2 linked regions of the Coturnix japonica genome follow. The protein of the gene in region 1 purifies or fractionates together with the protein of each later gene. This does not show direct contact. Links are inferred from orthologs where the notes say so. Each region holds a gene or a part of one and is shown on either strand. Other genes may lie near its edges.

Region 1 (3,166 bases):
TTCCATAAGAAATTGTGATGTGGATGTTTGCTGCAGTGTGAAGGAATCTTGCCTGACCTGGGCTGAACAATTAAGCTGAGTAAATGGTTCATCCAGTTTGTGTTTGTCCCTGCTCAGGGACATGATTTAGTGGAAGGCTGTTAGAGGCAGGGTAGTATGGTTAGGTTGCGGTTGGACTTGATGATCTTTAAGGCCTTTCCAACCTGAGCAATTCTATGATTCCATTATTCTAGTGCTGCTTGTTTCCTAAGCAGTGTCTAATCTGGGGCTAATATTTTTTTCTGATTGGTCCAGGGTTTCTAAAGCCTTCTAAAATTGTGTTACATCAGAGGAGAGCTTGGGATCCTTCATTGAGTACCCCTAAAATGAAAGCAGTTGAGAAATGGTCAGTAGTGAGTGTACTTGATTCTGTGGAATTGAAAGTGGAGAAGTGTGGGAAGGAGAGCACTGACACTTTTTGTCCTGAGAAGTGTTTGATGTGGCTATTCTCAGTTGTGTGGTTTCTTGTTAACAATCCAACACATTCAAACATTTTTGTAACTATAGCTGGGGAAAATGATAAGAGAAATCAAGATTATTGAAGTTAATCCTCAGGATAAATTGGACTCTGGGCTTTCTTTTCATGCAGTCACCTCACACTGCAGCCTCCTACCTTGATATTTGTTGACTGCACGTTTTAAAGGAAAAGATTGTGGTTAGAAATTTAAGCCTGTATAAAATGCATCAAATGTGGGGGAATTTCTATTCCTTTTTTGATGAGGTCAATTATGGAACTAGTGGGCAAGGTTAAGACTCTTATTTCCTGGGTCCCTTAAGCAATTCTGTTGGTGTGCATTTTAACTCTTGAGCAGGTCACTTCATCTGACTCCATCTTTGTGCTTTTTATTTAGGGATTACCAAGTAAATATTATTACTCTTCTGTAGTACTGCAGAAAATCTACAGATTTCTTTCTTATATTTTGAATAATAACTACTTCTCCAAATCTCAGTAAATCATTCAGTTCTCTCTTGTTCTTTTTTTGTGGCTTCTCTGTTTCCTTCTTCAGATTCGATCAATTGAAGGACGATATGGAACACTTCAAGCATATGTAACTCCAAGAATTCAACCAAAAACCTGCCAAGTTTATCAGTACCAAATTAAACCCCTTTCACTTCATCAGAGAACTCATTCTATTGACCATGACAGGTATTTGCAACAACTACAACAGCTGAGGGAGCTGGGTTGCGGGGTGACCTTATTGCAGCCTTTCAGTACCTAAAGGGAGCCTTTAAACAGGAGGGGAGTTGACTCTTTGAAACGGTAGATAATAGCAGGACAAGGGGAAGCGGTTTTAAGTTGAGGGAGGGAATATTGAGGTTGGATGTCAAGGGGAAGCTCTTCACAGCGAGAGTGGTGAGGTGCTGGAACAGGCTCCTCAGAGAGGTTGTGGATGCTCCATCTCTGGAGGTGTAAGGCCAGACTGGATGGGTCCCTGGGCAGCCTGGTCTAGTATTAAATGGAGAGATTGGTGGCTCTGCCTGTGGCAGGGGGGTTGGAGATTCATGATCCTTGAGGTCCCTTCCAACCTGGGCCATTCTGTGATTCTCTGATTTTTTATTTGAAAAACTGATGCAATCCAGTCAAAAATTGTACTCTATAGGCTTAAGCATGTCATTCCTAACCTACATTTTTGAGCCCGTATGAGTTTATAGGCTTTGTAGGTTTGACATAAATTACAGATTTAACTGGTTCCCACATCCCTAGCTTTTCTTTATGTGTTTTCAAGGTCTGTGTATTTTTCACTTTACTGACTTGTGCTATAGAGCAATCCAATTAATAGAGTTGAGGGTGTGGTAGAAAGGAAACTGTGCTGTGACAGTAACCGCAGTCTTTTCAGTTTCAGCCACAGTCTCCCCTTTACACCTATATTGTGATTCTTTCCCACAACTAATTTGACTCTGAAATTGAGCCAAGACTTTTCTTCCTTATCTCTGAATTTGAAATCTACTTATTTATGTATTTTCTACTTGATTACTCTGTCCTTAATTAACATCTTATGTTGCATGCATTAAAACAAAACTGACAAGTTGAAGGAATTGAAGGCCAAATGCAAATACATTCTATGCCTCATTCTTGAAATAAATGTCTGTGGTTTACAGGATGGGAAACTGTTGAAGCTTAGCTGTATTTCCTGTGTTTTTTAGCTACTTTTCAGGTTTAACAACTTGAAATGGTGCATGTCAAACACCTTCAGTTTCTTATCCAGTTCTGACATGCCTGCTATGATGTAAAGGTGGAATGTACACATAGGTTTTGGTTTAGAAAACTAGCATTAATCAGCAGTGCGTGGGGACGGGACTAGGGGTAATGGGATGAAACTTCAGCATAGGAAGTTCCGCATGAATGTGCGGAAGAACTTCTTTACAGTGAGGGTGATGGACCACTGGAACAGGCTGCCCAGGGAGGTGGTGGAGTCTCCTTCTCTGGAGATATTCAAGACCCGCCTGGACGCCTACCTGTGTGACGTGGTGTAGGGAGCCTGCTTTGGCAGGGGGGTTGGACTTGATCTCTAGAGGTCCCTTCCAACCCCTACAATTCTGTGTGATTCTGTGTAATCTGTGCTGCACGGCTACTTAGCAAGATAACTGACTTCATGGACAGAGCTGATTATAAAAAACCACCAACTTGGAACTAAACATTTTTTTCTCATATGGATTACTAATGCACTATCAATGCTCATCCTTTGGAGCCAATAGTGACTTTTGAACTTTCATCCTGTCATAGGCCAATGAATACACTGATGCTCAAAGGACAATTCAGTTTTGCTGAAATTCACTCTTGGGTTGTGTTTTGCTTACCTGAAGTCCCCGAAAGGACTCCGCCTGGAGAGACTGTCACCTTTTATTTTCAAAACACCTTCCTGGGTACCCAACTTGAAAGTACTTACAGGTAAAATACAACTACTAGAGCACCGTGTGGCTGCCTTTTGATTGTTCTCTTTTTCATTCTTGTTTGTTCGACGTAAAGTTTTTCTCCCTTTACAGAATAGGTGAGGGATGTTTCAAGTCTGACAATATTTCGACAATATCCATCCTGAAAGATGTGCTTTCCAAAGAGGCCACTAAAAGGAAGATTAATCTCAACATATCATTTGGTAAAACTCAATCTATTTTCTTGTCCTTTGCA
Region 2 (4,261 bases), on another chromosome or scaffold:
TACTCAATGCTGGGGAAGAACTGTGCCTCCTAACCCGCTTTCTCTGTGCTGTTCCCCTCCGCTGCAGATACTGCGAGAGTCGACGAAGGGTTTTGTTGCAGCACGTGCATGAAGGCTACGAGAAGGACCTGTGGGAGTACATTGAGGACTGAGCCTGGCCCCGCATAAAACGAACTCTGAACCTTTTACCATCTAGAGCGCCCGTGCGATAACAATAAAAACACACACAAGGCACTACGCCTGTTACACCGCTGGTCTGTAGAACCGGGATTCTGTTTTGTTAACAGAAAATTTAAGTAAATTATATTGTAATAAAAAAGAGGTAGATAAACCATTGTACAACAGTATTCTAGGCGGCCAATAAGAGTGTGACAGACTCACAAAAAAAAAAAGCAACCCTCCAACTTTAACTTGTAACGTAGCTTCATTTTCCAAGCGACTCCTTTTTCTTTTCTATCTTTCTTTTCCTGTGTGTAGTACAGATGAAATTTAAACCAGTTTCTTGACACTGCTTTTCATGTCCAAACCAGCCATTTTGATGTACTTTGGTAAGGGGGGGGGATGCCTCCCGCCCCCCTCCTCCTCTCTGCCCCTCCCTCCCCCCCAGTACACGGATGAATGTTGATTGGCTCCTTGTAAAGATGATGTTTGGGGAGGGGAGGAGGGGGGTACACAGCAAGGAAAAAAAACCTTTGTATATGACTTTTAAAACAGAAAAAAAAAAAAAGAAAAAAGAGGACAACACAGTATTTTTCAAAGTTGTATATAGCGCATATGCATGGACAAAGAGCAAGCGTGGCACGTGTTTGCATAATGTTTAATTACAAAAAAATATTTATTCTTTAAAAATCTTCAAGATTATGTCTATTTGCTGTGCATTTTCTTTCAGTTGGATTTTTCACTTATATTATTTCCCCCCTCTTGTTCTGTTTTTCGCTGGGATGGGGTGGGCGAAGCGTGTGCTGCTGCAGTGACTGTTGTTGGAGGCTTTCAGCAGGCGAGTCGGAGTTCTCCTCTTGGTGCAGTTCCTTTCTGTCCGTCGTTCTGTGCGTACCCAGTGCTGGCGGTGGCCCCGTCGTTGCCATTCAGGATGCTTTGCCTCCTCCCCTGTTTTTTCTCCCCACATTGGTTCTGCCTGACCTGCCCCAGTCCAACTGTGCTGCTCCACCTGCACACGCAGGACACGCGCTCTCATCCTGGAGGAGCTGTGTGTGAGTGTGTGTGCGAGTGTGTGCGTGCACGCATGTGGTTAGAGTTGTTTTCTTATTTCTCTGAATTCCAAGGCAGGAAAAGGAGGGGGATTTTGCACCACTTCTCCAAAGACTTATGGCAAGATTTCGGCTGTGGATCTCCTCTCCCATCCCCTCTCATCTGTCCAATGGAGCGTTCCTTGCTGTTAAGTTTCACTTACATTATAACGAGTCGTAACGTTGAAAAGGAGAGATGATGGAATTGTCTTTGTGTTTGTTTCGGGCTCAGTTACCGGGCACGGGGTCCCGGCAACTCTTTAACACTCCATCTAGCGCAGTAGAAACTGAAATTGAGAGGGTATTTTTCAATTAAAAGGGGAAAGAACTAATGAGCTATAGCTGCTGAGTCCATTTTTATGATTTCTGTAACAAGAGCTATGTTAAAGTAAACAATTGGTGGTGGTTTTATTAAATCTACTCCTGTATAGGAACTCCTCCTGTGGTATTTTTCGCCAGGCCTCGAGCTCTGTGCGGCCTCCGGGGGGAGGAGGGGCCGAGGGCGGCTCCGCAGAGCAGGGCCGGCTCCGGGGGAGGCCTGAAGCGCCGCCATGTTGCGCTGCGGGCCGCGCCCGGCCTGCTGCCCTCGGAACGGCGCCGGGCGAGGGGGGGAGGGCACGCGGGGCTCCGGGGCTGCCCGTGTCGGTCGGAGCGCTCCCGTACAGCGCGGCGTGCGAGGACGGGGGGAAACCGCCGCTGTTCTGAGCGCAGGCGGCGCTTCACCGAGGAACAACCGCCCCCTCCGTGCCGCCCGGCCCGGCGCCGCCCTCCGCTCCCCTCACGGCCGCGCCTTCCCGCCTTGCGCCGCCCCGCCGCCATGGCAACCGCGCTCCTCCCGCCGCCATGGCGGAGCCGCAGGCCGGGCCGGTGAGCTGAGGGGATGGGGGGGGGGCTGCGCTGGGTGCGCCTTCCTTTGGCCTCTGTTCGCTTTGCCTATGTTGGCGGCATCACCGTCCCCCCAAAAACAAACAAACAAAGTCTTCGCTGTGTAACCGAGCTGCTCGTTGACAGCGGTGGGAGCCGTGCCGCTGAGGTAACGTTGTGCTTCTCTCTCCTCAGGTTTCTTCGTCGCCAGTGGTGGCGGGACCGTCAAAACCCCATCCTAAAAGAGGTGGGTTTTAAGTTCTGGTTGTGCTTATCGGGCAGGTTGGTCTTAAGATTTCTTCTTAGAAGAAATCTAGCAAGGATTAACTGCTCACTGGGAAAAATGAGGCAATCGTCATGTAGGATGGCTCGGGTTGGAATGGACTGTAAAGATCACGGAGCTCAGGCTGCCCGGGGTCCACCCGTGTCCGTGTCCCTTCCAGGGATGTCACTCACCGCCTCTGGGCTAATGGTGTCTTCCTCACACCTCACCTCCAGGTCCCCCCTGTTAGTTTAACGTCATTCCCCCTTGTCCTATCTATCACTACCTGCCTGTGTACGAAGTTGCTTTCCCTCCTGCTTACAGTCTCCCTATAAATACTGGCAGGCTGCACTGAGGTCTCCCTGCAGCCTTCTCTTCTCCAGGCTGAACACCCCCAGCTCCTCAGCCCGTCTCCATACAGAGGTGCTGCAGCCCTCGGAGCATCTCCGTGCCCTCCTCTGGCCCCGCTCCAGCAGCTCCACACCCTTCCTGTGCTGGGACCCCAGGTCTGGGCACAGTGAGGGCAGAGCAGAGGGGGCAGTGTCCTCCCTGCCCGCTGCCAGCCCTCTGTTGGTGCAGCACAGGATGCTGTTGGCTTTCCAGGCCCCAAATGGACACTGCTGCCTCGTGTGCGGCTTTTCATCCAACAGAAGTGCTTTTTTTCTAGGGTCTGTGAAGTCACTAGCTTGGTGCTGTTGCTGGCTAACTTACAGAATACTTCTTACAACCTGAGAGACTTTTATTGCATACATAGTTCCTGGGTTGTTAATGGATTTGATCTTCATTTATCTTTTTAAATAAAGAATGGCTTTGTACTTTCAGGTTCAGTTAATACTTTTACTACAATACAAATTGATTGACTCCATAGTGAGATGCCTTGTGTCCATCCTTCTCTATACAGATGATGATTCTGGTCCCCTCGTACCCCGTAACCCCACATCATTGCTTCTCATACAGGTCAGACCAGTGATGTTTGCAGGCTGTGCCTTCTGCCTGTATTTCAGGACACTGTGTGTCTTCAGTTCTCTAAGGCAGCTCCAAGACTGGTGGTGTTTGTGAGGGGATGGGCTATCACTGCCACGCTGCTTCCTGGCTCTATTAAGTCAACTCTGCATAATTCATGAGTGAATGGAATTGCTGAGCAAGAAAGATGGGGCCATCAACCTTCCAAACAAGCAGCAGGGGTGCACTGCATGGAAGCTGCCTTCCCTCTGTCTGCGTGCTTGTTAAACTCTCCAAGCCTTCCTGCTTTTAAGTGTGCGCAGCTTAATATTGATCATTTGGGAGGGTGAGATGAGACAGTTGTGCCTTTCTTAACAGGACCATTTTGCAGATCTTGCTGTTTGACAAAACATTACTTGTGGCTGTTGTGGAGGAGCTTTCTCTCATCATTTGGCATTTTGCATTGCAAGCCTGAAACCAAGCTGGATGCTTCTTTAGGTCACCAGCATTCCTTGGGGTTTTAAGGCTGCGTGGAAGAATTGCTCTGCTCTCTCCACCACGTGACGTGCCTTCCCCATCCTTGGTTTGGTATCAGTGTTCATACAGCTGTGTGCCAGAGGGAAACAGCTAGCAAATGGAATCCAGTACTTAGTGTCCGCTGGTCTCCCTTATGTGCCAATGTGATTCTTCAGGCAAAATTAACTATCACAAAGACAAAAAGTCTAGCCTGGAACTTGTGATTATGTCAGTGTCCCAAGTTAAACCCAGGCATCTCCGGTACGTGGAGCAACCGTGGCGGTTCTTAAATGAAAGGGCTTGGCGACCTTTGCCATTAAGTATTTGACTGTGCTGCCTTCTGTGCACTGGGCAAAAGCTGGTCTGAGCTGCTGGGTAATCCCTGGGAAATGAGGGCAGCAGCGAGATCTGCCATAGGGAGTGATGTAAC

Evidence for each region.
Region 2: the proteins of BBS7 (region 1) and BBS4 purify together in Homo sapiens (co-immunoprecipitation; 7 studies listed by BioGRID and IntAct, counting the BioPlex papers as one, with this or other methods). This does not show direct contact. The link is inferred for Coturnix japonica from reciprocal best matches to the Homo sapiens genes BBS7 and BBS4.

What each region holds. Positions count from the first base shown.
Region 1 is NC_029519.1:48,267,897-48,271,062, forward strand, and holds part of BBS7 (Bardet-Biedl syndrome 7 protein), read left to right. Parts: intron 1-1,046; coding exon 1,047-1,186; intron 1,187-2,764; coding exon 2,765-2,929; intron 2,930-3,024; coding exon 3,025-3,134; intron 3,135-3,166.
Region 2 is NC_029525.1:1,067,531-1,071,791, forward strand, and holds the start of BBS4 (Bardet-Biedl syndrome 4 protein), read left to right. Parts: upstream 1-1,161; 5' UTR 1,162-2,064; coding exon of another isoform or gene 2,065-2,090; coding exon 2,091-2,114; intron 2,115-2,161; exon of another isoform or gene 2,162-2,280; intron 2,281-2,306; coding exon 2,307-2,358; intron 2,359-4,261. Other genes in the region: E3 ubiquitin-protein ligase ARIH1, read left to right, coding at 68-152.